Coturnix japonica: one gene and its partner. The protein of the gene in region 1 interacts with the protein of each later gene in a pairwise test. Links are inferred from orthologs where the notes say so. Each region holds a gene or a part of one and is shown in the gene's direction. Other genes may lie near its edges.

Region 1 (3,684 bases):
TGCTGGTCAGCACCGTGATTGAGGGGGAAAAGCAGGAAAAAATAGGCAAATCCAACAAGGAAGGTGTTGAAATGGCAGGAGATGCACACGCAGGAGAAGAGCTCTCTGCTCTGAGATGCTGCTTGCATGGGATGGGGCCACGTTCAGTGTTTGCAGCTCAGCAAAGGCCCTGTTCTCAATGCTTCCCCCCATATTAGCAGAGTGCACGTCCCAGGGATTGAAATAAGCAGCGGTTCGATCGTCGTTTCTCCCAGGGAAATGGGTTTTAATGAGGTTTTAAATAATAAAATGGGATAATTTCCCCGCCTGGCGAGAACATGAAATTTTTATGCCTCCTTTTCTCTCCCAAAGTTTTATCGCCCTTTGTCTTTAGCAACGCACAACCCCCCTGTAATTAATAATAACAAAGTGATTTAGGGAAACTCAGTCTGTTCCCAGCAGCCCCAATGAGCAGGGGATGCCTCCAGCTCCTTCCCTTCCCCAGGCACTTGGGGAAAGCCTCAATGAGGAGCAGAGTTGGGGCATTTCCCCCCTTGTGCCCCCATAGAGATGGTCTGGGGGTGATGCTGGGGGTGATGCTGGTTTGGGGTGCCAGTGCTGGGTGTGAGATCTCAATGTGTGTGTGCAGTGCTGGGTTGTGAAGGTGCTGGGTGCACAGTGCTGGTGCAAGATCCTGTACGTGGTGCAGGACGCAGCTTGGGTTTGGGTGCAGGTGCCGGTGACAGCAGCTCTGGGTGCCGGTGTAGTGCACGGGACCGGGCTCTGTGTGCGTGTATGTGTGTGTGTGTGTGTGTGTTTTGACGTGAGGAAGTGCCAAAGCTGCAATTGCTTTAGGAAGTCAATCGCAGGGGCCGGGGGACGCGTGCGCAGTGCAGCCGCTCGGCTCCGCTCCTCTCCCGTTGCCTCTCCCTCTCCCTCCGGTGCCGAACCCGGGGGCAGCGCACGGGCGGCGGCCGTGGGCACGGGGCAGCGGACGGAGCTGCTCGACGGCGCGGATGCCTGACCCGTGAGTACCCCACAGCCCGGCCCGGGGGATGCCGGGGGCTGGGGCGGGGATGGGAAGGGAGGGGAGGGGGGGGGAGGACACAGACCAGCCACCCCCGTGTATTGCCCGGCCCGCCCCCCCCCGCATGCTGCAGCCGGACCCTATTCGCATCCCCATCCTTGTCACGCTCCCCCTTCCGCCCCTACGTGCGCGCTCCCCCCTGCACGCACCCTCCTTTTGCACGATCCCCCTTTTCTCCATGATTTCCCTCTTCTCCCCCCCCTCCTCCTCCCCTTTCCAACGCATCCCCCCCTTTCTGTGCATCCTCCCCCTTTTTCCTCCTCCCTTCTCCGGGCACACACAGTGAGCACCGCGGGGCGCTGATGGAAAGGGAGGGCTGCGTCCGTGTGTCCGTGTGTCACCGCCTGACACCGGCCCCGTGCGCGATGCTCGGCGGGGCGGGGGCACGGAGCACACCGGGCCTGGGGGGGGGATTCCCTTCTCGTCGCCTCTCATCCCCTTCCTCCCCATCGCCCCCGAGCCCCTACGAGGAGGAGGAGGATGGAGGAGGAAGGCGGGGGCCCCCTCTCGCCGCAGGGATGGCTGCGCCCGGGTCTTGCCCAACCCAGGGGCAGGGCTGTTTTGTGGTCATCCCCCAGGGCCAGCTCTGCATCCACAGGTGTGCAGAGCTGGAGCATCCTCTGTGGGATGCGGGGTCCCCTTTGTGCTCCCTGCAGCCGGGGGTGCCGTACCCCACCAGCAGCCCTGACCTCGATGTGGCATGGGAAGGTTGGCTGAAGTCAGGGTGAGCCTGAGCTCCGGCCATCATCGGGTCCTCCAGCACCAGGCAGGGGGATCTGGTGACTTCATGACCAGAGGACCCGGTGACCGGGATGTGGCTCCCCCGTAGGGACACAGCATCATCTATCTGTCGCCCAACACGAGCCCATCACGTGGGCTTGGCAGCTTGGCTGAGGGATGGAGAGGGCCAACAGCATCCCTGGGCACAGCGAGGATCCCCCGGGAAGCTCCCTCCCTCCCTCCCTCCCCATGAGGCTGCTCTGGCGCGGATCCATGGCCTTATTTAAGAAACTCAACAAAAAGTGTTAAGTGAGTGGGAGGGATTTCCCCGCTGCAAGGAGAGTTGATTCCCCTCTGGATGCAGCTCCACCATCCCGGTGCTCTCAGTGCCTGCTGTCCCAGTGGATGTGTTGTGCATTGGGTTGCCCCTGTGGGCACGTACCTCAGGATACATCCCAGGGGACAGAGCCACATCAGATTTCCCTACAAGGATTTCAAGCTCCTCCGCCTCAGCCCTTCCCCACAAATGACTCAAAGCCGCTAATCAAAATACAGTCGTGTTCTTCAGCAATTAAACAAACTCTACCTCTGAAGAATTACAGTGGGGAAGCAGAGGTTTGGTGACTCGGACGTGCATCATTCGGGGTCTGTGTGCCATCCCTCAGCCATGTTGGTGGGGGTCTGTGCTTCCCCTGGGTGGTTTCTTGCAGTGAACCCCAGCAGCAGGGCTGATAACGGGGTGCAGCTCTGTGCTGAGATCGTGGCCGCTTCCGTGTTGCCCCGTGCCCACTGCTGCTTCCTATTACTCAGTTCCTTCTTCGTCTCTGCACGTCTCTGCATTTCCATCGCAAAGGCTTGTTTGGAGGGGGTGGGTCTAAAGGCATTTGGTTCTGTGTGTTATTTAATAGCTACTTCTTCATTCGAGGGGGAGAAATTGGATGTTGCTCCCTGTTCTTGTAACGATTCTCACCCAATGGAGAGGACGGTGCATGGTATCCCACGCTGCTGCAGGAGGGGAAAGTGCTGAGCTCTCACACTGTTGCAACCTGGACCTGGCAGCTGCTCTATGGGGGACGTCACCATCCCCACTCCAGCTCCATGGCACTCAGCCTTGTGGGCATCTCGTCCATTGCTGGGCACTCCATCAGCTCTCCCAGCCCATTTCCAGCAGTGTCCACTCCATTCATTCTGGTTTTGCTTTGCCACATGTTGGCCATGCCACAACCCCTCGTGTTCCCTTCTCTACCATCACTGATGGGCACTGGAGTGGTGCTGATCTGCCTGTTCTCCATTCTCTCCCCCTGCAATCCCAGGGATCCCAATCTCTCTCCCATCCAGCTCCATGCACTCATGCATTTTGCTGGAGAGCCGTGTTGCAGTGAGCACATTTCCAGCAGGCTGTGGTGGGGCTGTTGGGCTGCGGGGGGTGCTCAGAAAGTCTCCAATCCCTTGCAGCAGTGGCAGAACAGAGTTGCCTTATCGAGATCTCCAGCAGGGATGGGATGCCTTCAGTCCAGCTGTGCATGCATTGCTGCAGCTGCATGGCTGGTGCATGGCTGGGGGCAGCTGTGTTCATGCCATCCCTTGTGCTGGCAGCCGTGCACCAGGGGATGCAGCATTCAATGGCTTTGGGGTATAAATGCAGCTCAGACCAAAGCCAGGCTCATGGTGCACCCAAGGGTGTGGGGAGGAACACGAGGGGCAGCCCCAGAGCTGTTACTGTCCCACACAGTGTCTTGCCTTTGGTTTAGCCCTGGTGAAGCAGCAGAGTCAAGGAGAACAATGGAATCCTATGGGCTTCAGCATCGATATTCATCACAGGCATGAAAAAAAAAGGGGGGAATTCCTGACAGAGGGAAATACAGAGGGTAGGATTTCCAAACAAGCTGCACTTCCAG
Region 2 (3,649 bases), on another chromosome or scaffold:
CTCTTTCCTCCTCACCCCCCTTTATTCTGGGTGGTTTTCACCCAGCTATTGGTGCAGTGCTTTGAAAACCCCATTTGGTGGCTGGGACGTAGCTGGTGCCTTGGGACTGTCCCTGCTGACCCCATCCCTCCTCACCCATCCCTGTCCCCTCGTGGATGATGGTGATTGTTTCCTGTTTTTGTAGTATGCTCTGGGAACAACCATGGCTGCATCCCTGGGGCCCTGGGCTCTGTGCCCATTGGGACCTGGCCCTGTGGGACAGATGGGAGCGATGCTTTGGGGTGCAGAGCCACAACCCCAGCCCTGAAGCGCTCTGTCCTGCCCAGCAGTGGGAAGCTGCCCTGCTCCGGAAGCGTGTGCTGCCTGGCACTCAGCCTATGGATTGTGTCGGGGCTGAATGGCCGGCAGCCGGTGTGTTCCGGGGATTGGGAGCTTCCCCTCACCATATGGTTGTCCCCATCCCTGTCCCCTCTATATGGCTTGCTGGCTTCCCTGAGCACCACGTGGCTTCCGTCTCCCATTACTCACATCCCTGTGCCACCAGTGACCGCTCCAGTGGCCTATTGGGCTGGTCGTGAGGCAAAGGAACGGATTTGGAAGAGATGGCATGGCAGCCTGGTGGCTGCACTCCCAGCTTCTGCACGTGCCCAAGGGCTGTGCCTGTGCCACGTCACTGCCCAGCTGTGCTGTGATCTGCTGCTGCGGGTGCTGTGGGGTGGCACCGCTCCGGCTGGGGTTATTAGAGTTAATGAGGTACCGGAGCACTCCTGCTGAACAGGGATTACGAAAGGAAAAAATGCCTTCCCTGCAGCTACTGTGACTCAACGCCGGGTTTGGAGGCCGCGGCTCCGCACGTGTGCGCCCACACTCCTCCCGGCATGGGCTCCCACAGCGGGCTCGGGGTCATGCCTGCACCCCATTAACAGTGCCATAGGGCCAGCAGAGTGGGGGGGGAGCTATAGGGGTAGCTCTGTGGACTGGGATGATGTGCCGGGCAGGGATACGCTTTGGAGATGCTCAGGGTCAGTGTGGATTGTGCCCAGCCAGGTGGAGGTGGCACTGCAGTGGCTCTCGGTGCCCTTTGTGCAGTTCTGGTTCTGTGGGGCCAAGCTCCGTCCCCGCTGTGAGCAGCAATTTTCCGCGTGGCGTGGCTGGCTGCAGGGCTCCTTTTCCAAAGGAGCCAGGGGAAGCTCTGGGTGGAAAGAAAGCAAGAAACCCGATCCACCGAGCCGAGCCGAGCGCAGTTTTATTTCCGTCGGGTCAAGCCTGCGAGGTTCCAGCCAAATCATATATTTTGGGCCAAATGAGAAACATGTGTCATCCACCGAGTCCCATAACCAGAGAAAGATGCTGCGGGTGGATGCAGGGTCCTGCCTGGGCTGTGCAGCTCCTCCTGGCCCAGCCTGTGGGCAGGGGGACGCCCTGCCTGGAGGACACAGGGCTGTGACCCTTGCTGCTTCCATGGGGTACCTGGAGTCCCAGCACAGATGGTGATGTCCCTTTGTGCTTTGGCTGCAACCTCAGGCTGTGCTCTTGCAGGTTAATTTTAGCATAATCTCCATTTTTTTGAGCTCCTCTTCCCCTTCTCTGGCTGGAGCGCAGCACCCCTGCCATGAGCTGCCTGGGGCCCCCTGTAAGGGTGGCTCTGCTTTAGGGATGTGGCAGTGCTCACACCTTGGGCATGTGGGGACTGTCTGACACCCCCATGGTGCTGTGTGGGTCAGGGGGGACAGGGCTGGCATGGAGGGTGGCCAAAGAAAGAGAGACCGCAGGGATGGATGAGAGAGAATGCACCAAGTGCTGTGCTTTGGGATGTGGCACCCCCAAACAGCACTGCTTGGGGCTCCTGCGATGAGGGTTTGCTCCAGGCTGTTGTCCCTGTGCAGAGAAGGGACAAGGGATGGGCAGTGTCCCTCTGAGCTTCCCCTTTCAGCTTCCCCTTTCTGCAGCCGGGTGACCTCACTCCTTCCTCCCTCCCAGAATGGGGAGGGAGGGAGGGAGCAACAGACGCACACAGCCTGCCAGAGTGGCACATCCCCAATGCTTGGGGTGACAGCAGCACTGCCAACAGCACTGACACATTGCTCAAGCTGTCTGGGTTTTTCCCAGCTGTGCAGAACCCCCTGGGTGCTGTGGCACTGCTCTGGGCTCTGTCCCCACCTGCTGCTTTAGAAATCCATTGGGTTTAACCCAGCGGGGTTAAACCAAACCCTGCTCTGGTCAATGGAAACCCCTTTGGTGGCAGTGCTACTTCTGTGCTGTGCTTCACTCTGTGCTGGAAATAATCACCCTGAAAAAGGGGTTAGATCTGCTGGGTCCCTTGGACTGTTCAGTGGAGACGTCTCAGCTTTCTGGGCTCCTCCCTGGGGGCTGTTTTAGCTGCAGGAGCACTGAGGGTCCCAGTGCACCCCATGGGGGTCTCTCCAGCGGTAGCCCTGGGATGTAGCTCATGGCTTGTGCCTTATGTCTTCCACAGGTGCTGGGGAGTCCGGGAAGAGCACCATCGTCAAACAGATGAAGTGAGTAGCACAAGGACCTGCCCTGTCCCTGCAGCGATGCTGGGGTCATCTGGGCACAGTGACACCGGGGTCGGGCTCTGGGGATGCTCAGGACGGTGCCGTGGTGGCTAAAAGTGCCTTGAGAAAGGCTGGGATGCTCCCAATGGGATTTCTGCTGTCCCATGTGCCCCCATGTCCCTGCTGCCCAGCTCCTCCAGGCTGGGTGCTCTCCAGGGCATGAATATTACATTGGCTGGCAGTGGAAGGGGAGGTGAGCTCGGGTGCCTGCGGTTACTCCGGCAGCAGTGAGACATGGTGAAAGCAAACACCTGACGGGGAGGTGGCAGCGTGGCTGGTGTCACTGTGGGCCGGGCATGCTGACCCTGCCCCCTGTCCCCAGGATCATCCATGAGGATGGCTACTCGGAGGAGGAGTGCAGGCAGTACAAAGCCGTGGTCTACAGCAACACCATCCAGTCCATCATGGCCATCATCAAGGCTATGGGAAACCTGCAGATCGACTTTGGGGACTCCTCCAGAGCGGTGAGTGTCCCTGTGAGCCTGCTGTGCCCACATCCCTTCTGGGAGCAGGGCCTTCCAAAGCAGAACCAGGGCTCCGGTGGCCCTGCCCAATCCCTTCTGCTACTCCAGGACCCCCTAAGGCAGGGAAAACCCAAAGTACAAGTGGTGGGAATGGGGAGGACAGCTGTGCATTTCCTGGCATAGGAGGGGTGATTTTTTACCATTCCTGTGGTTTGTTTTGTTTTGTTTTTTGCCTATGGGCATCTATGATGGGTTGGTGGGGATCCCTGGGGCTCGTGGAACTGATGCCTGGTTCTGCTGCAGGATGATGCCCGCCAGCTCTTTGCTCTCGCCTGCACTGCAGAGGAGCAGGGCATCATGCCTGAAGACCTCGCCAACGTCATCCGCAGGCTGTGGGCTGACCATGGGGTCCAGGCCTGCTTCAATCGCTCCCGTGAATACCAGCTGAATGACTCTGCTGCCTAGTGAGTACCTTCCTCCTCAGCCTCCTCCTCCTCCTCAACCTGTCGCTGTGCTATGGAGCTGTTCTGTGATGTTAGGGTCGGGGCAGCTCTCCCCCAGGTGTGCAGCATCCAAGCTGCATTCATAGAACCACAGAATGGCTTAGGT

Evidence for each region. The genes of interacting proteins can lie anywhere in the genome.
Region 2: the proteins of regulator of G-protein signaling 19-like (region 1) and GNAI2 interact in a two-hybrid assay, tested with the Homo sapiens proteins (2 studies listed by BioGRID and IntAct). The link is inferred for Coturnix japonica from reciprocal best matches to the Homo sapiens genes RGS19 and GNAI2.

What each region holds. Positions count from the first base shown.
Region 1 is NC_029535.1:8,388,129-8,391,812, forward strand, and holds the start of regulator of G-protein signaling 19-like, read left to right. Parts: upstream 1-850; 5' UTR 851-1,006; intron 1,007-3,684. UniProt on the Homo sapiens protein: Inhibits signal transduction by increasing the GTPase activity of G protein alpha subunits thereby driving them into their inactive GDP-bound form. Binds to G-alpha subfamily 1 members, with the order G(i)a3 > G(i)a1 > G(o)a >> G(z)a/G(i)a2.
Region 2 is NC_029527.1:2,011,775-2,015,423, reverse strand, and holds part of GNAI2 (guanine nucleotide-binding protein G(i) subunit alpha-2), read left to right. Parts: intron 1-2,476; coding exon 2,477-2,519; intron 2,520-2,898; coding exon 2,899-3,040; intron 3,041-3,343; coding exon 3,344-3,504; intron 3,505-3,649. UniProt on the Homo sapiens protein: Guanine nucleotide-binding proteins (G proteins) are involved as modulators or transducers in various transmembrane signaling systems.